5 linked regions of the Macaca mulatta genome follow. The protein of the gene in region 1 interacts with the protein of each later gene in a biochemical or structural test. Links are inferred from orthologs where the notes say so. Each region holds a gene or a part of one and is shown in the gene's direction. Other genes may lie near its edges. The genes, in order: RALBP1, SYNJ2BP, DLG4, DLG1 and RALA.

Region 1 (3,514 bases):
AGGAAAAGGATTTTAAAATAAAAGAGAAACCCAAAGAAGAAAAGCATAAAGAAGAAAAGCACAAAGAAGAAAAACATAAAGAGAAGAAGTCAAAAGACTTGACAGCAGCTGATGTTGTTAAACAGTGGAAGGAAAAGAAGAAAAAGAAAAAGCCAATTCAGGAGCCAGAGGTGCCTCAGATTGATGTTCCAAATCTCAAACCCATTTTTGGAATTCCTTTGGCTGATGCAGTAGAGAGGACCATGATGTATGATGGCATTCGGCTGCCAGCCGTTTTCCGTGAATGTATAGATTACGTAGAGAAGTATGGCATGAAGTGTGAAGGCATCTACAGAGTATCAGGTACTGGGAATGTGCACTTCACTTGGTGGTTTTTAATAATTAACTTCACTTTCATTTTTCAAAGGAAGAAAAAATATTGTGAGGACAATTTGGCCTGGATCCTAAGCTTTATTCATTTCCTCGATCCTCCCAGTTGCACAGAAATCCACCCCTCTCCCCAGCCTTTCTTTGGTGTTCCAGCATTTGGTTTTTTATGTTTCCTTCCATTAGGAGGATGTCACGTTAGTTGTTTGTAGCTCGCAGCAGCCAGGAGTAAAGCGAAGTGAAGTATACTGGTAGCATTGCTTAACAGGGCTGCATTCAGACTCTTTTTTTTCTTTTTCTTTTGTTTGTTTGTGTTTTCGAGACAGAATCTCGCTCTGTCGCCCAGGCTGGAGTGCAGTGGCATGATCTCAGCTCACTGCAACCTCCGCCTCCTGGGTTCAAGTGATTCTCCTGCCTCAGCCTCCCGAGTAGCTGGGATTATAGGCATGTACCACCACACCCAGCTAATTTTTGTATTTTTAGTAGAGACAAGGTTTCACCATATTGGCCAGGCTGGTCTTAAATCCCTGACCGCAGATGATCTGCCCTCCTTGGCCTCCCAAAGTGCTGGGATTATAGGTGTGAGCCACCACTCCCAGGCGCCTGCTTTTTTTTTTTTTTTCCTCTTTCCTCTGTAAGCAGAGGCTCAGTGATACAAGGGTCATCAGCAAGAAAAGGAAAGTTAACACTGTGAAGGAATCTTCTTGGCCAAGAGTCACGTTTATGGACACAGTCATATAATGCATTTCCTTAGCTCAGCTAAGAGGTGTGAAATGGTTTTGGTTTTTGTTTTCTTGGTGCACGGTTCATAGAGGTACTGCAATACCCGGTCAATACATGGAGTGGTCCAAGCGAGCTTCTGTTCCGTCTCCCTGCTCCAGAAATCTTGGAACAGATACTACACCTGACTTTAGCTAAAAGACCAAGACGTGGTCAGTGTTTAGGCCCTATATGTGAATGCTTTGGTCAGCTACATGCGACTATTACATATATTAGCATCACTGATTTTCTATTTATCTTTATTCCACATGTATACAAATTAAATTTCATATTTGGCAAGAGTGTGTTTTGATTGGGTATCTAAATCAAGCAATATGTATAGTTTTAAAAGTAAAAAAGATTTCTTACAAAGCAGTATGACTTTTATACCAGGATAGGATGAAAGCCCTGACCTGTAGCAGCATCTGTGTTCCAAATTATTACATTGCCATTATTCAGTTTCTTGGTACATCACCAGTTTCTGTTTAGAGATTTATTTTATAAAATTAATTGTTGACTGAGGCAGGAGGATCACTTGAGCCCAGGAGTTTGAGGCTGCAGTGAGCCATGGTCGTACCACTGCACTCCAGCCAGGGCGAGAGTGAGACCTTGTCTCAAAAATAATAATAATACTTGTTGGTCACATGTATTTTCATGATGAGTTGTTAAGTCATACACATGTAGAATAGATAGATTAAACTTAGTTTTTTCATTTAATTGGTTCATATGCAATTCTAGAAGGTAGATTTGATATTTAAGTTTTGCTGAGAAAGGGCAGTTTTTTTTTTGTTTGTTTTTTTTGTGAGACGGAGTCTCTCTCTGTCGCCCAGGCTGGAGTGCAGTGGCGCCATCTCCACTCACTGAAAGCTCCGCCTCCCAGGTTCAAGCCATTCTCCTGCTTCAGTCTCCCGTATAGCTGGGACTACAGGCGCCCACCACCGCGCCCGGCTAATTTTTGTATTTTTTTTTTTTTAGTAGAGACGGGGTTTCACCGTGTTAGCCAGGATAGTCTCGATCTCCTGACCTCGTGATCCGCCCGTCTCGGCCTCCCAAAGTGCTGGGATTACAGGCGTGAGCCACCGCGCCCGGCCTTGGGCAGATATTTTTGATAATTGGGAAAACCGTTACATAATCCACTAGATTACATGCCATTGTTTAAGAATATTTTGACTAAAATGTTATTTTTTTATAGAAAATGAAATAAATTAGGCATTGAATTTGAGTTTATAACTCCTTAGTATTATATAAACATATTTAAACTAATTGATTTTTAAGAATAATTGGCTAGGTGCAGTAGCTCATGCCTGTAATCCCGGCACTTTGGGAAGCTGAGGCAGGCAGATTGTGAGGTCAGGAGATTGAGACCATCCTGGCCAACATGGTGAAACCCTGTCTCTACTAAAATACAAAAAATTAGCCAGGCGTGGGGGCGTGCGCCTGTAGTCCCAGCTACTTGGGAGGCTGAGGCAGGGGAATAGCTTGAACCCAAGAGGTGGAGGTTACAATGAGCCAAGATCATGGCACTGCACTCTAGCCTGGAGACAGAGCAAGACTCCATCTCAAAAAAAAAAAAAAAAAAAGAATAATATACCGAATTGATTCTTTAAACATTTAAACATTAATAATGTAAGTTGCTTCTCTCACATGGTCTTAGTAGCCATGAATTAGTTTTGTTTTAGGTAAAAGTTTCTCTGAAAATTTTCTACAGCTTTGTTCAAAGGATTCTTTTTGTCTCTGACCTACTTTTTAATGTCTGCATTTTTTTGGAAATTCAGTCATAGAACTCCTCTTCTCTGTGTGTAAAGCATTCAGATTGAGCTGCTGCCCATATTGCAACAGCTGGGGGCTGAGCTCCTGCTCTGTTGAGTTCTGGGTTTATTCTCTAACCTGTGGCAGAGTGCTGTAGTCAGCCCAACTTATACTACTGTCATGGACAGTGCTGCTAATAACACTGCTTTTTGCTAGAGATGTTAGTTCTCACTTATTCATTTTAAGACCTTTTGCTGGAAGTTTTAGTTCTTGCTTATCTAATTTTAAACGAATATGAAAGACAATTTAAGTGATTTTATACATTTTAATTTATTCATCTACATTTTCTTGTATTTTTTGCATTAAAGTGTACCCGTATGCTCTTTCTGTCTTTCTGTGGAACACTTTATTTGTAGTGTCCAATTTTTAAAAGAAAAACATTTTGATAACAGTTTTGGAGTAATGGCAAACCAAACACACATTCTAATTGTCTACTTGTACAGTTTGTTGGGTAGGTACTGCAGGGGGGCGAATTAAATATACATGAGGAAGAGAAAAAATCTTTGCCAAGAATTTCAGTTATTATCACTTATGGTTTACCCATATTGTCATTAAAAGTAAGAAAATGGGAGTTATTTTC
Region 2 (4,055 bases), on another chromosome or scaffold:
CCAAAGTGCTGGGATTACAGGCGTGAACCACTGCGCCCAGCCTCCACTATTCCATCTTTACTTCTCTCAGAGTGAGCAAACAAGAGGCCTTCCTGCCGAATCTGCCCCTATCTCCTTCTGTTTGGTAAACATAGTTGCTGCTGCTTTGGTTTTTTACTATAAATTTGAATGTCTTTATATTGGCCTTGCACTTTCTACTCCTCTAAGATCCCCACCAATCGCTGTGGTCTAACTCCAGGTTGCTTCACAAGGTTGTCACCTTCCTGGTTCTTTAGGCTTTTGTGTTTTTGACCCCTGAAGTTTCATTCAAGTTCAGTTTGGAATATCTCATTCCAAAAGTCAGGAAGACTGGCCTAAAGTTATACCTAAGTCGTGAGTTAACCTTATTGTAAGAGTTAAAACATTAAAAAGACTGAATTTTCCCAGTTGCCAAAAGGATGAGCCATTCCCCTAGTCCCCTTTCTTAAAAAATTTTCTTGAGCAAATTCTAATTATAATCCGTGTGTGTGTGTGCGTGTGTGTGTGTGTGTGTGTAACTTTTTAAAAGCTAAATAAGCCTCTTGTCAGATAGAACCCAGGAATCTTTTTCTTCAGGTCCCGGGAGCCAACTCCTTGAAATGTAACTATCAAGGTAGACAGTGCCCCTATGATCCACGCTCGCGGGAGTTACCCTAAGCGACTTGCTCCAAGCCGTAAGTACCTGTTTGTCACAGAGATAACGTTTTATTTTTCCTTTGGATAAAGGCAATTAACCAACACAGACGGCCACTCCAACGGTGAACTACCAAAAATTGAATATCAAACCATGTTAACTCGTCTTACTTGAGAACGTGCGTGTGCTTTAGCTACATAAAAGGTGATATTGTTGTCTCTCTTTGCAATCTCATTAGTGGATTGCCTGTGACACTCATTCCGGTCTGGTTCGATGTTTACAGAATAATACAACTTTTTTTTCTTTTCTAAATTTGTGGAGATTTTCTAGGATGGCAGGGGATTTTTTTAAAAAATTTTTTCTCGACAATATCAATTTATTTAGGTCCCTTACTTTTACTAGCCACCCCTTCCCACCTCCTTCCAATGGCAAATTAGAATAACTTGCCCCTTGCTCACCTCATGCGTGGCCTTGGGAACTGGTGAGAAACTGCAATCCGTTGGCGGCAGGAACCACGATTCCCAGCATTCCCAGCGCTCTGAGTCCTTCGGGCTTCCTTTTCCGGGTCTCGAGGCTGCTGAAACCGAAAGTGCTGTGCTGTGGGCAGCAGCGCCGAGATTGATTCACCTTCTCCTGTGCGGAACTCCAGCTGACCCGAGTAGGAAGCCAGACGAGCTGTAAATCATGAACGGAAGAGTGGTTTATTTGGTCGCTGAGGAAGAGATCAATCTTACCAGAGGACCCTCAGGTATGTGCGGAACGGGTCATATCTGATAGTAGGGGATTAGAGGGTGTAATTGCAGACATCTCTGCTGCTGAGCCGGATTCACCTGGCCTCGGGGCAGGCCCCAACCTAGAGGTTTCGTGCAACGCTTTGGGGTGCTTAGAGAAAATATGTTGAAATCCATCATTAGCCAGATACGGATCTGAGGAATCCACCTCAAAATCCAGTCGGATGACCACAAATATATATAGTCACGAAAGGGTTCTTTCTGCAAATCGTGCTAGAAAAGTCTTTTTAAAAGTCTGCTTTTTTAGCCTGCTTGTCGTGGACACCACATCCTTCCTACCGTTGCCTGTTCTATCCTTCACGCTATGAGGGACCGTTTAGTAAAATGGGAGCATAAGCGGTGTAGACTCTGAATGCATAGCCGTTTTCCTGCAGCTAGGATCCCTCCCTCGCTCCTTTGATTTCTGGGAAATTCATTTACAGTGCCAACTAGAATGTTAAAGCAGGAAGAGCCCTTAGAAATCTTTTATTACACAGGTTCTCAAACTTGGTTCCGCCACAAAATTTCCCAGGGCTTTAAAAAAAAAAAAAAAAAAGGCCGGGCGCGGTGGCTCAAGCCTGTAATCCCAGCACTTTGGGAGGCCGAGACGGGCGGATCACGAGGTCAGGAGATCGAGACCATCCTGGCTAACACGGTGAAACCCCGTCTCTACTAAAAATACAAGAAAATTAGCCGGGCGAGGTGGCGGGCGCCTGTAGTCCCAGCTACTCGGGAGGCTGAGGCAGGAGAATGGCGTGAACCCGGGAGGCGGAGCTTGCAGTGAGCCGAGATCGCGCCACTGCACTCCAGCCTGGGGCACAGAGCAAGACTCCGTCTCAAAAAAAAAAAAAAAAAAGAAAAAAAAAGAAAAAAAAGTTAATTCTTATCTCCTATCTGCAGGGATTTGGATTCAGTACGGATTTATTTTATTTATTTATTTATTTAAGTTTTTTTTATGAACACCTCATGTGATTTTGAGCAGCCAAACTGCTATCCTCTTACCCCACTGAGGCTCTTCATTAAACTGGGCTCTTGACATTACTACATTCTGCCTTCTTTCGACTTTGTTTATTTTCCTTTACAGCTATTTAGTTGATCGATTAAGAGCTTTAGCTTTGGAATTACAGTATCTGGGTTCAAATCTTGTATCTAACCGCTTACTGATTCTTTGATACTTATTGGCTCACCTAACTGATGTAAGCCTTAGGTTATCATCTCTAAAATGGGGATGGTTATAAATATACTTCATAGTGTTGTGAGAATGAAATGAGTTAATCTATGTAAAATGTTTACAATATTGCCTGACCTATGGTAAGCAGTATGTGTTTCCTACTGTTGTTATTGTTTTTTTTTCTTTTTTTGGAATGAAAGTCCTCACATATTTATTACTGAACCCAGCCAACCAATGCATTCATAATAGATTCAGAGAGGAAAATACGTCGAACTCTCCAGAGAGTGGTGACATTTTCAGTTTGATATGGTAATGTGATCGTGACCTTCAGACAGCACAAATATATGTGCCATCTCATGTGCAATTCCTTATAGACCCAGCTTGGTTCTTCTCCAATGTCTCCTTTTGGAGTTGTACCTTATTTTATTTCCAGTTTTCATCCGAATCCACTGGGGAATGGGACGATTTTGCTTTTGTTTCTTGGCCAGGAATCGCTTAATCCTGAAAGTCTTGTGAGAAGACATGGCGAGAAGTGGAAGCAAGAACACACCACGATGGCGGAGAAAGGAAAAGAGGGGGTACTGTTGTTATTGTTAATGGATAAATAGCTAAACTGACACAGTAGATCCTACTAATACTGTATTCCAAGAGTCTCTAATAAATCATCAGGTACTATGAGCTCCATCTCTGAAATGTTCCTGAAATCCTTTCACTCCTTTTTCCCTTGCCACCACCTAGGACAGCCCATCACCTTTTCTCACTGCAGTTCTGCAGTAGCTTAATCATCATGGATAGATTATTCTTTATAAAATATAACTTTCAGAATTATCCATACTTTGTGTCTTTTTTTCTTTTCTTTCTTTCTTTTTCCTTTCTTTTTTGAGACAGGGTCTCACTCTGTTGCCCAGGCTGAAGTGCAGTGGCATGATCTCAGCCCACTGCAGCCTCTCCCTCTTAGGCTCAAGCAATCCTCCCACCTTAGCCTCCTGAGTAACTGGTACCATGGGTGTGCACTGCCAGGTCTGGCTAATTTTTTTGTATTTTTGGTAGAGACAATGTTTTACTACATTGCCCAGGCTGGTCTTGAACTCCAGAGTTTAAATGATCCACCCACCTCTGCCTCCCAAAGTCCTGGGATTACACGTGTGAGCCACTGTGCCTGGCCTTCCTTTCTATTATAAATAATTGGAAGTTGGTTTTACTTATTGTAATATAACCCATCACTAATATCATTATTAATATTATTATTATTTTTTTTTAGAGACGAGGTCTCGCTTTGTTGCCCAGGCTGGTCTTGAACTCCTGGACTCAGGCAGTCCTCCTACCTTGGCCTCCCAAAGTGCTGGGATTACAGTCATGAGCCACCATGCCTGGCCTATCACTAATCTTAATGGATTAGTGTCATGGATTATGTGCGCCTAAACTTTTGTCAAAGGTTCATTTGGTATGCCCAAGTTTCTTG
Region 3 (4,170 bases), on another chromosome or scaffold:
AGTGAGGGAAAGAAGACTAGAGATGCTTTTTGTAAGGCAGGGCCATTAAATCCCTGAGCAGGGGGAAGAGGAGGTAGGGAGCCTGAGGGGTGGTAGTTAGTACAGAGCTACTGTGGATCAAAGCTTAGGAGCAGAAGAGGGTGGAGGGAGAGAGTGTTGGAGGCCATAAGCATGGGGTGGAGGTCTCAAGACAAGGCCTCACCTGGGGAACAAGAGAAGCCCCAATTTTCAGAAGAGAGGGGGAGTTGATTGAGAAGTGTAAGATTGTTACTTGAGAATAATCTTGAGGGTATGAAGGCAGGGTAAGGGAGAATGGTGATACACTCTCTGGGGAATCAGAAATTGAGATGGAGTAGCTGGGTGCGGTGGCATGTGCCTGTAGCTACACAGGAGGCTGAGGTGGGAGGACTGCTTGAGCCCAGGAGTTCAAGGCAGCAGTGAGCTATGATCACACCACTGCGCTCCAGCCTGGGTGACGCAGCGAGACTCTGTCTCGGGAAAAAAAGAAAAAAAGAAATTGCGATGGAGGATGAGGCCACGACATTGGTAAGGGATGGGGCTGGAGGGTGTGATAGGGCCAGGGAAGCGGATGGAGAATGGAGGCTGGAGGCTAGGGTTGGAAGATGGATGTTGAAGGGCGAGACAGGGATGGAGATGGAGCGTGTGGGATGCGGGCAGAGACAGGGATGGGAAGCAAATGAATGTCGTAGTGGATGAAGGTGGGTGTGCTGGGAAGGAGGTTCCAGGATAGGGATGGGATGGGGATTGAGGATAGGCTATGGGATGGAGGATGAACACGTGGATGAGATTTTGGCAGTCAGTGGCTGTTGGTTGGACAACAGCATTTGCTGAGATGTGAAGGGTTGGAGGGTGGTGTTAATCGATTTATGGGTGTGAAACCTGTGATACAGCTTGAAAATGGTTGGTAGTTTGTAGGCTTGGGAAATAGCACTAGGAGAGGGGAGGGACCCCTTTGGACGGGGAGAGCGGGAAGGAGACTGGGGAATCCTTGGGCTTGGGCTACTGCAAATACATGTTTCTTTAAGGAGGAAGTAGGTTGGGGACCCCGGAAGGAGGCTCTTGGCGGCCTCCCCCCATTGCCATAGAGACGTGGCTTCGGTTGCCCTGGCAATTGGGGAAGCCCCTAGGACCAGCCTAAAGCTGGCCCCGCCTGGGAGTCTAGAGACCAGGCGATTGACGTCAGGGACCTGGGCACGCCCCACTTTAACCCCTTCCCGAATGAAGTTGGGGGAGGGAATAGATGAGCGGGATAGGACCCGGATGTCTTTCACCACTCCCCCTTCCTGACGTCCTTTGCACTGCGTAGGGTGAGGGGCGTAGGGGAGCGAGGAAGGCAGGTTATTCAGAATGCGCTGCGCCCACAAACCTCTTCAGGCCGGCCTCCTCTCGGCCTGGCTAACGCTGGGCGGGGCCCAGGGCAGAAGAGGCGGGGCTAGCGGAAACCTTCTGCGCTCAGGAGTTTGGTCGGCCTCAGGCCACGCCCCACCCCCCTGTTGTCCTGACGACGGGGCCTCCTGGAGGTGGGTCTCCCCGGGTCTTGGCTGGTCCTAGATACCGTTGCTAGGCAACACGGTCCCTAGAGGAAGGGGTGGATTGGACGTCTGGTTGGTGAGACCAAGGGAGGGGTCTGCAGCTGGGGGAACCCCGGATTCCCGGGGTGCAGGGTTTAGGGCAAATGTGTGTGAAGGTGAGGGACAAGTCTAGGGGAGGATTATGATAATATCCGGGTAGTTATGGGGGGATTGGGGGGGGATGGGGCAGGAAGTGGGTACCAGGACCCGGTGGACATGATCCCTGGGTTGTCCATGTGTAGCACATAAGGCATGTAACACCCTGTGGTGTTACATCCGGTGAGAAGCTCCCTTCCCCCAAGCCTACCCCCCTCTCCCCACTCTTTGCCATCTGCTGCTCCCCTCTCCGTCTGGCTGTCTCCCTTCCCGCTTCTCCTACACCTCCTTCCACATGCAGGGGGCCCCGGGCTGGGCAGAGTTAGATCCATGTGCTTGTGCATCTGTGCGTGTGTGTGTGCGTGCGCATGTGCACGCGTGTGCGTGTGTGTGTGATGTGGAGTGAGACTGGGCCCTTGAGCAGCTCTCAGCGTGGCAGAGTGGGCTTGGCTAAGAGGCTGAAAGGGTAGCCACGCTGATGGGACCCTCCGTTACGGGCTCCCTCTCGAGTCAAGGCTCAGGTGGCTTTTTGTCTCTTGTTTCCCCAAACAGGCCAATTCTCCCCCTGTGATTGTCAACACAGATACCCTAGAAGCCCCAGGATATGTGAGTTGTTTAGATTTTGGGGCTAGGGCCATTGCAGAAGGAAGGAGGGAGTAAGGGAGGGAAGCAGATGACGGGCAGGTTGTGAGGCAGGAATGTCTGTCTCACTGCTTTTGTGTTTCTGTCCCGTGCTGGAGTTGCAGGTGAACGGGACCGAGGGGGAGATGGAATACGAGGAAATCACATTGGAAAGGGTGAGCAGGCTCCTCCATTGGCAGTCCCCTTGGCCCCCCATCTGTACCTTTCTTTCTGCCCATGTGGTCTGCGTGGCCAGCCCCTCACCCTATCCCTTCCTGCTCTGGCTGCTCCAAGACATTTCCCACCCCACTTGCCTTGCCAGACTTGGGCAGTGAGGGGAGCTGACCCTCTTCCCCTCCTTCGCCCAGGGTAACTCAGGTCTGGGCTTCAGCATCGCAGGTGGCACTGACAACCCACACATCGGTGACGACCCGTCCATTTTCATCACCAAGATCATTCCTGGTGGGGCTGCGGCCCAGGATGGCCGCCTCAGGTGAGGAGAGGATACAGGGGTTAGGATGCTTGGTCCCTGGAGAGGGAGGGCCAGGGCAGCAGGAAGCTCTTGGCTCAGGCCCACCTTGCTGCTCCCAGGGTCAACGACAGCATCCTGTTTGTAAATGAAGTGGACGTGCGCGAGGTGACCCACTCGGCAGCGGTGGAGGCCCTCAAAGAGGCAGGCTCCATCGTTCGCCTCTATGTCATGCGCCGGAAGCCCCCAGCTGAGAAGGTCATGGAGATCAAGCTCATCAAGGGGCCTAAAGGTAGTAACTCATTTTGTTCCCCCATCCCAACTGTCCTGTGCCCCCAAGCCTGCTTCCTGGGCACCTGGGCACCCACCTCTGGCCTCCCCTCCATCCAGGTCTTGGCTTCAGCATCGCAGGGGGCGTAGGGAACCAGCACATCCCAGGAGATAATAGCATCTATGTAACAAAGATCATCGAAGGGGGTGCTGCCCACAAGGATGGGAGGTTGCAGATTGGAGACAAGATCCTGGCGGTGAGGACCCCATCTAGTCCATTTTCTAGCCCAAATCTGGGTCTCACCTACTAGCCCTGGCAGGCGCAAGTTCATCACTTCATCCCAGTCCATCTGTCTTGGGCCATTTGTGGCTTTGTCTGAGCTTTGCTTTCCTTGACTCCAGGTCAACAGTGTGGGGCTAGAGGATGTCATGCATGAAGATGCTGTGGCAGCCCTGAAGAACACGTATGATGTTGTCTACCTAAAGGTGGCCAAGCCCAGCAATGCCTACCTGAGTGACAGCTATGCTCCCCCAGACATCACAACCTGTGAGAGCCCTTCAAACGCCAAAGCTCCCCATGACCCATCCCGTTTAACCCATGACATGCAGTCCCATGACATCCCTGTAGCTGTCCCTCTTCAGATATTCCCAATGAAATAGCCACAACCGAGACGGGCGGATCACGAGGTCAGGAGATCGAGACCATCCTGGCTAACACGGTGAAACCCCGTCTCTACTAAAAAATACAAAAAACTAGCCGGGCGAGGTGGCGGGCACCTATAGTCCCAGTTACTCGGGAGGCTGAGGCAGGAGAATGGCGTAAACCCGGGAGGCGGAGCTTGCAGTGAGCTGAGATCCGGCCACTGCACTCCAGCCCGGGCGACAGAGCCAGACTCCGTCTCAAAAAAAAAAAAAAAAAAAAAAAAAAAAAAAAAAAGAAATAGCCACAACCTCTGATCCTTGCTGTTGTCAGAGAAGAGATGGAAAATCAATTACCATAAAAGAACTAGAAAAGATCGTCAATGATCTCTCCCATGGAAGGCACAAAACCTGTTTGGTTTTATGGCTAATTTTATGAAATTCTCAAGGAATAGATAATTCTTCTGCTCTTCCAGAGTATAG
Region 4 (3,514 bases), on another chromosome or scaffold:
AAAATTTGTGAAGTGGAAAATTAATATTTACATTATATTTAATTTTTATTTTTTATATTTAATTGTTTTCTCAGGGTCAATGACTGTATATTACGAGTAAATGAAGTAGATGTTCGTGATGTAACACATAGCAAAGCAGTTGAAGCGTTGAAAGAAGCAGGGTCTATCGTACGCTTGTATGTAAAAAGAAGGAAACCAGTATCAGAAAAAATAATGGAAATAAAGCTCATTAAAGGTCCTAAAGGTATGTGGTAAGTCAAACTAAGATAAATTAAGAAATCTCTGAGTTAAGTATTCCTATGAACTTTATCTGTGACATAGATTTCAAGATGAACAATAATAGTAATATTCTATAGAACTTGAGTGGATTTTAATTTCTCTGTTATTTCTACTGATTTTTGTCCTACGTTGCATTTTAGAATATTTACATTTCTACCAAGATTGCAGCATTTGAAAAGTTCCTATTTTTTGGGGTGGGGGGTTGTTTTTAGAGGCAGGGTTTTGCCCTGTCACCCTGGCTGGAGTCCAGTGGTACATCCATGGCTTACTGCAGCCTCAGTCTCCTGAGCTCAAGCGATCCTCTCACCTCACCCTCCCAGGTAGCTTGGACTACATGCACGCGCCACCACACTGGGCTGATTTTTTTAGTTTTTGTAGGGACGGAGGTCTCCCTGCATTGCCTAGGCTGGTCTCAAACTCCTGGGCTCAAACAGTTCTCCCACCTCAGCCCCCCAGAGTGCTGGTATTACAGTGTGAGCCACTGCACCTGGCCCAAAATTCTTATGTTTGTCAATTATACATTTTATACATTTTACCTCAGTGAGCATATATATAGATTTATAAGTTTTTATGATTTTTATATTCAATATTTGCTCAGCACGTTTTTAAGAATTTTTAAAAGTAAGGAACAAAATATCTACTTGTTTTATAAGTGGATTTCTCCCTATTGGTATTAAGTATTATTACATTAAAGACTTCTAGTGTTAAAAGTGAAATATTTGTGTCCTGGAATACTTTGAAGTTAAGTATAGTATTGATATTAACTTGTGATAATTAATCTACAAAGTACTTTAAATGCAGATACACAGCCTAAGTTAAAAGAAGAAGTGCTTTTAATATGTATTATGAGCAGTTACATCTGCAGTAAAGGACTGTTAAGATGTGATTTCTCGTTCGGAGACCGAGATGGGCGGATCACGAGGTCAGGAGATGGAGACCCTCCTGGCTAACACGGTGAAACCCCGTCTCTACTAAAAAATACAAAAAACTAGCCGGGCAAGGTGGCGGGCGCCTGTAGTCCCAACTACTCGGGAGGCTGAGGCAGGAGAATGGCGGGAACCCGGGAGGTGGAGCTTGCAGTGAGCCGAGATCCGGCCACTGCACTCCAGCCTGGGCCACAGAGCAAGACTCCATCTCAAAAAAAAAAAAAAAAAAAAAAAAAAGATGTGATTTCTGAATTTTTAAAACATTGATGGATTGAGGATAAATGGAAATATTAGTTTAAATATGTGGCTTCATGGAAGAGGGAGGATTTCAACAAATGAAAAAGGAATGGAGAGCTGAGAAATTTTCTGATGTTGGAGCTATGGGATTTAAGAATTACAGAAATTCCTTACTTAAAGTTGTTAATTCATAGAATATTGAAAAAGAGCCAAAGTATTCACATTTTTAAAGCCTGTTGGTTCTGCCCACCACCACCAGACGATATTATTTCTTCTCAATTGTTTTATTCTAGTGAAAATAATGAAAGTGTAGGTGAGCGTAATTATGATGGAAACAAAAGTAAAACATAATTTTGCAATGTCACTTTGGAATAACAAGTGCATTTGCGAGAAGATACTAAGAAGGAACACGTGGGATAAAAGGAATCTATTCATAACTCTAGGAGCAGCTATATTTATAAGTGTCCCTTGATTGCAGAACATACACTAGTAGATAACTAAATGGATTCTTTTCTATTTTAAAAAATATTAGTGTGGTGGAATTATTACGTTGTAGTTTTCAACCATTTTTTTCTGGGCTTAAGTTCATATTTATAGAAGAGAATCTAAAACTAGTGTTTTCCAAACAGGTCTTGGGTTCAGCATTGCTGGAGGTGTTGGAAATCAGCATATTCCTGGGGATAATAGCATCTATGTAACCAAAATAATTGAAGGAGGTGCAGCACATAAGGATGGCAAACTCCAGATTGGAGATAAGCTTCTAGCAGTAAGTATAGAAATCTGTTGTCTTTTAAATCATTTTGTTGTCTGATTTTTCTAATAGATACTGGAATTTCTCCATACCAAAAAGGTCTAAATGATATTTAAATTAGCAAATCCTAGCCTTGCTGTATCAAATCCTAAAAAATGATTCTTGGTAATATCTTTATTTGTCATTTCTGTTTTCTCTGCCAGCTCCTCCTCCGTTTTCCTTTTATTCCTTCATTGTTGTTGAAGGGTTGAGGGCTTGTATGCACAGAGTGTTTCATCATAATCCTTAGATTTATAAAACAGCGTCATCATTTGTTTATGTATGACCCTTTTGTGTTTTACTTCACTTAATAATATAATGAAATCTAGTAATTACCCAGCTCAAGAATTAGAACATCAACCATTTTGTGTTTCTTATTCCTTTGCTTCTTAAAAATTGTTTAATTAGGCCAGGTATGGTGGCTCACACCTGTCTGTAATCTTGGCACTTAGGGAGGCTGAGGTAGGCAGATTGCTTGTACCCAGGAGTTTAAGACCAGCCTGGTCTGCATGGCAAAACCCTGTCTCTACAAAAAATACAGAAATTAGCCAGGCCTGGTGATACACACCTATAGTCCCAGCTCCTCAGGAGACTGAGGTGGGACGATCACCTGAGCCCAGGAGGTTGAGGTTACAGTGAGCTGTGATTGTCCCACTGTACTCCAGTCTGGGTGACAGAGTGAGAGCCCATCTCAAAAAAAAAAAAAAGTTTAATTACATACATATGCCTAAATAATTTTGTTTAGTATTCTTTTGAAGGTTTTTCAGAACGCTGTTGCACTGTATGAGACTTTCGTCTCCAGTATTTTTTTTGCTTAATATTGTTTTACTAAGACTTACCCATATCATTGCTTAGAGCTAAAGTTCATTCATTTTATCTCTATGTAATATTCCACTGTATGTCTATACTGCAATTTATTTGTCTAATCTTCATCAGTGTATTAGTTTGTTTTCACACTGCTATGCAGAATTACCCGAGACTGGGTAATTTATAAAGGAAAGAGGTTTAATGGACTCACCAGCCTCAGGAAACTTACAATCATGGTGTTGGGGGTGGGGGAAAGCAAACACACTCTTCTTCACATGCCAGCAGGGGAGATGCTAGATGCTTATAAAACAGTCTCATCTCATGAGACTCACTCACTATCAAGAGAGTATCATCGGGAGCCACCTCCATGATCTAATCACCTTCTACAAGGTCCCTCCCTCAACACGTGGGGATTACAATTCAGGATGACATTTGGGTGGGGACACAGAGCCATACCATATCAATCAATAACTGT
Region 5 (3,514 bases), on another chromosome or scaffold:
CTTGGGGTGGGGGTCTGCGGGAGGGATAGCATTGGGAGAAGTACCTAATGTAAATGATGAGTTGATGGGTGCAGCAAACCAACATGGCACATGTATCCCTATGTAACAAACCTGCACGTTGTGCACATGTACCCTAGAACTTAAAGTATAATTAAAAAAAAAAAAAAGAAGAAGAACAGCATTCAGGTCCTCATTCACAAAGGAAACTGGTTAAGAAAGTCACAGCACGCCCTAGAAAAAGAGTGTGATTGGCCAAAATCCTCTTCACAAGTACTGCATATATTTAATAGTAATCATGGTGAAAGTTGACATAGTTTTTGCAAGAAATCATGTGAGTGGTAGGAAGCATCATAGCACTATGTAGTGCTGTACATCTTAGCCTGCATCACCCAGATACCATGCTTATTTGGCATTTTGTTTTCTAAAAGGATGTTTAAGACAAATACAAATCAGTGAAGAATGGCGTTTACTTTCTCTGTGACCCATAGTCTGTGCAGCCTATAGTCTATTCAGGTTAGAAGAACTGAGAGTTCAGTTCCAAAGAACTTCCTTTGAGTGTTGAATGTATTCGAATGTTTGCTACATCATGAGTAATCAAGTGAATGAAGTAATAATAGTAGTAGCACTACCTCATACTCATGCAACACTTACCAGGAGCCAGACTGTTCTAAGCATTCACATATATAAACTAGTTTCTCAAACAACACTGTGAGGTAGATACTACTGGATTTCATAGATTATAAGATGTACATTTTAACAGCTCTCAGGGCTATGTCTTATGATATGGCACCATACAGTTATAATTGCCAGCATTTTTTCTTGGAGTCTATAAAATAAGATTGAGAACAGTGATGTCTTAAATTTGACTTTATTTTAAAAAGCGACATCCAAATTTATAAATGAAGAAGCTGAAATGCAGGGAGGTTAAGTGGCTTGCCCCAGGTCGTGCAGTCAGGAATAGCATAGAGTTAAAATCCAGGAGGTCTGCCTTTGTATTCTCGTGGTATCTAATGTACAAGTTCATTGTGTGCTTTGGAGTTGGATTTCTCAGACCTGGTTCTACTTAAGTGTGACTCTGAGCAAGTTAACATAATTTCTCTGTGTATCAGATTCCTCATCTGTAGGACAAGAATAATAATGATACTAACTTCATAGGTTTAGGTAAGGATTAAATGAGAAAATATGTAAAGTCCTGAAAGTGGTGTTTGGCACATTGTGAACACTGAGTAAAATGTTAGTGGTAGTAGTGTGGTGGTGGTATTTAGGAAACATTGTCTAAGAAGCACAGAATAGAATAATCTGAAAATAAGGGAAGAAGGTTTTTCCCAATTTCTCAAGCATCACTATAGAATGCCTGCAGCCAGGTGCAGTGGCTCACTGCAGTAATCCCAGCACTTTGGGAGGGCGAGGCAGACAGATCACTTGAGCTCAGGCGTTCAAGACCAGTCTGGACAACACGGTGAAACCCCGTCTCTATGGAAAAAAGAAAAAAAAATTAGCTGGGTATGGTGGTGCGTGCCTGTGGTATAGTTGTGCTACTTGGGAAGTTGAGGTGGGAGAATTGCTTGATTCCGGGAGGTTGAGGCTGCAGCGAGCCATGATCATGCCACTGCACTCCAGCCTGGGTGTCAGGGAAAAAAAAAAAAAAAAAGACCTGCAAAACCAAGTGTACTTTGCTGATTTTTGCCATTCTAATATCCCTTTAATTTTCTCATTTTCTCTTATTGTAAAATATAGTCATCCCTCAGTATGGGGTGGGGGGGGATTGGTTCCAGGACCCCTTGTGGATACCAGCATCCATGGATGTTCAAGTCTCTTCTATAAAATGGTGTGGTATTTGCAGATAGCCTATGCACATCCTCCCATGTACGTTAAGTCATCTCTAGATTATTTTTAATAGCTAATACAGTGTAATTGGTAGGTAAATAGTTGTTATTCTGCATTTTAAATTTTGTTTTACTTTTTGTTGTGGCATTTTTTTGGTTTTTGATTTTTTTTTTTTTTTTTTTTTTGAGACAGGGTCTTACTCTGTCATCCAGGCTAGAGTACAGTGATGTAATTGTGGCTCACTGCAGCCTTGAATTCCTGGGCTCAAGTGATCTTCCTGAGTGGCTAGGACTATAGGTGCACACTACTACACCCAGCCAATTTTTTTTTTCTATTCTTTATAGATATGGGGTCTCACTATGTTGCCTGGGCTGGTATTGAACTCCTAGCCTCAAGCAATCCTCCTGCCTCAGCCTCCCAAAGTGCTGGGTTTACAGGTATGAGCCATTGCACCTGGCTGTTTTGGGGGTTTTAAAAGATATTTTTTATTTGCAGTTAGTTGAGTCTGTGGATACAGAGGGCTGACTGTACTTATGTTCCTATAGCTTCAACAGCTCTTAATAATTTCAAAGGAGAGACATTTTTAAGGTAGCAAATTAGTGAACCTAAATCTTACAGATTTCCTTTTGTTCGTTGATTTTATAAGAAAACATTTCTTCCAGTAGATTAATGAGATAACATTTTTTTAATATTTATACTGTTCCATGCAGTTATAAGCACTTCACATTTAACCCTCATAGCAACTTTATAAGGAATGTATCATTGTTAGCTCCATTTTATAGATGAGGAAACTGAGGTAAGAAGTACTTTGCTCAGACTTACATGACTAGGAAGAGCAGAACCATGGTACTTTAAAGTTGATGACACTTTCACAGTGGATAACTTACCTCTCAATGCAAAATTTATGCTCGAGGTCTGACTTCCAGTAATTTCTGGCACATTTGGGTTTTAAAAAACAGTTGGCAGGACCCTTGATATGATGCAATAAGAATAGCACTCTCTTGTTATCTTCCTCCCAAGAACCAATAACCCTGGTTTAATCATGAGAAAAACATCTGACAAATCCCAGTTGAGAGACATTCAACAAACTGCCTGCCAGCAGTCCTCAAAACTATCAAGGTCATTAAAAACAAGGAAAGTCTGAGAACTACCATGGCCAACTCGAGGCTAAAGAGACATGACAAAACTCAATGTCATGTGGCAACCTGGATGGGATCCTGGAACAGAAAAAGGATGTCAGGCAAAAAGCAAGCACATTTGAATAAAGTTTGGACCTTAGTTGCTAATACTGTATCAATATTGGTTCATTAATTGTGATTCGTGTACCATAGTAGTAGAAGATGTTAACAATAGGGAAAACTAGATACGGGGTAAACAAGAACTTTCTGTACTATCCTTATAATGTTATTATTTCTTTTTCATTTTCTCTTATCCAGGGAGCAGATTTTAAGAGTAAAAGAAGATGAGAATGTTCCCTTTCTACTGGTTGGTAACAAATCAGATTTAGAAGATAAAAGGCAGGTTTCTGTAGAAGAGGCAAAAAACAGAGCTGAGCAGTGGAATGTTAACTACGTGGAAACATCTGCTAAAACACGAGCTAATGTTGACAAGGTAACACGTGACTCTCTTTACTACTGCATCATGTTAAAATAGGTTGGTTTGCTTTAACTTGGCTCTCTTTTGTCTG

Evidence for each region.
Region 2: the proteins of RALBP1 (region 1) and SYNJ2BP form a complex in vitro, tested with the Homo sapiens proteins (2 studies listed by BioGRID and IntAct, with this or other methods). The link is inferred for Macaca mulatta from reciprocal best matches to the Homo sapiens genes RALBP1 and SYNJ2BP.
Region 3: the proteins of RALBP1 (region 1) and DLG4 interact in a biophysical measurement, tested with the Homo sapiens proteins (2 studies listed by IntAct, with this or other methods). The link is inferred for Macaca mulatta from reciprocal best matches to the Homo sapiens genes RALBP1 and DLG4.
Region 4: the proteins of RALBP1 (region 1) and DLG1 interact in a test that uses a peptide from one of them, tested with the Homo sapiens proteins (2 studies listed by IntAct, with this or other methods). The link is inferred for Macaca mulatta from reciprocal best matches to the Homo sapiens genes RALBP1 and DLG1.
Region 5: the proteins of RALBP1 (region 1) and RALA form a complex in vitro, tested with the Homo sapiens proteins (3 studies listed by BioGRID). The link is inferred for Macaca mulatta from reciprocal best matches to the Homo sapiens genes RALBP1 and RALA.

Annotation. Positions count from the first base shown.
Region 1 is NC_133423.1:80,483,928-80,487,441, forward strand, and holds part of RALBP1 (ralA-binding protein 1), read left to right. Parts: coding exon 1-342; intron 343-1,158; exon of another isoform or gene 1,159-1,300; intron 1,301-3,514. UniProt on the Homo sapiens protein: Multifunctional protein that functions as a downstream effector of RALA and RALB. As a GTPase-activating protein/GAP can inactivate CDC42 and RAC1 by stimulating their GTPase activity.
Region 2 is NC_133412.1:143,571,839-143,575,893, reverse strand, and holds the start of SYNJ2BP (synaptojanin-2-binding protein), read left to right. Parts: upstream 1-1,248; 5' UTR 1,249-1,336; coding exon 1,337-1,400; intron 1,401-2,772; exon of another isoform or gene 2,773-2,961; coding exon of another isoform or gene 2,962-3,117; exon of another isoform or gene 3,118-3,168; intron 3,169-4,055. Other genes in the region: large ribosomal subunit protein eL39, read right to left, coding at 2,962-3,117. UniProt on the Homo sapiens protein: Regulates endocytosis of activin type 2 receptor kinases through the Ral/RALBP1-dependent pathway and may be involved in suppression of activin-induced signal transduction.
Region 3 is NC_133421.1:8,688,408-8,692,577, reverse strand, and holds the start of DLG4 (disks large homolog 4), read left to right. Parts: upstream 1-1,356; 5' UTR 1,357-1,541; intron 1,542-1,566; exon of another isoform or gene 1,567-1,696; coding exon of another isoform or gene 1,697-1,708; intron 1,709-2,240; coding exon of another isoform or gene 2,241-2,294; intron 2,295-2,425; 5' UTR 2,426-2,428; coding exon of another isoform or gene 2,429-2,455; coding exon 2,456-2,485; intron 2,486-2,677; coding exon 2,678-2,802; intron 2,803-2,900; coding exon 2,901-3,070; intron 3,071-3,168; coding exon 3,169-3,305; intron 3,306-3,450; coding exon 3,451-3,595; intron 3,596-4,170. UniProt on the Homo sapiens protein: Postsynaptic scaffolding protein that plays a critical role in synaptogenesis and synaptic plasticity by providing a platform for the postsynaptic clustering of crucial synaptic proteins.
Region 4 is NC_133407.1:2,693,650-2,697,163, reverse strand, and holds part of DLG1 (disks large homolog 1), read left to right. Parts: intron 1-74; coding exon 75-244; intron 245-2,071; coding exon 2,072-2,208; intron 2,209-3,514. UniProt on the Homo sapiens protein: Essential multidomain scaffolding protein required for normal development. Recruits channels, receptors and signaling molecules to discrete plasma membrane domains in polarized cells.
Region 5 is NC_133408.1:88,668,854-88,672,367, reverse strand, and holds part of RALA (ras-related protein Ral-A), read left to right. Parts: intron 1-3,263; coding exon 3,264-3,438; intron 3,439-3,514. UniProt on the Homo sapiens protein: Multifunctional GTPase involved in a variety of cellular processes including gene expression, cell migration, cell proliferation, oncogenic transformation and membrane trafficking.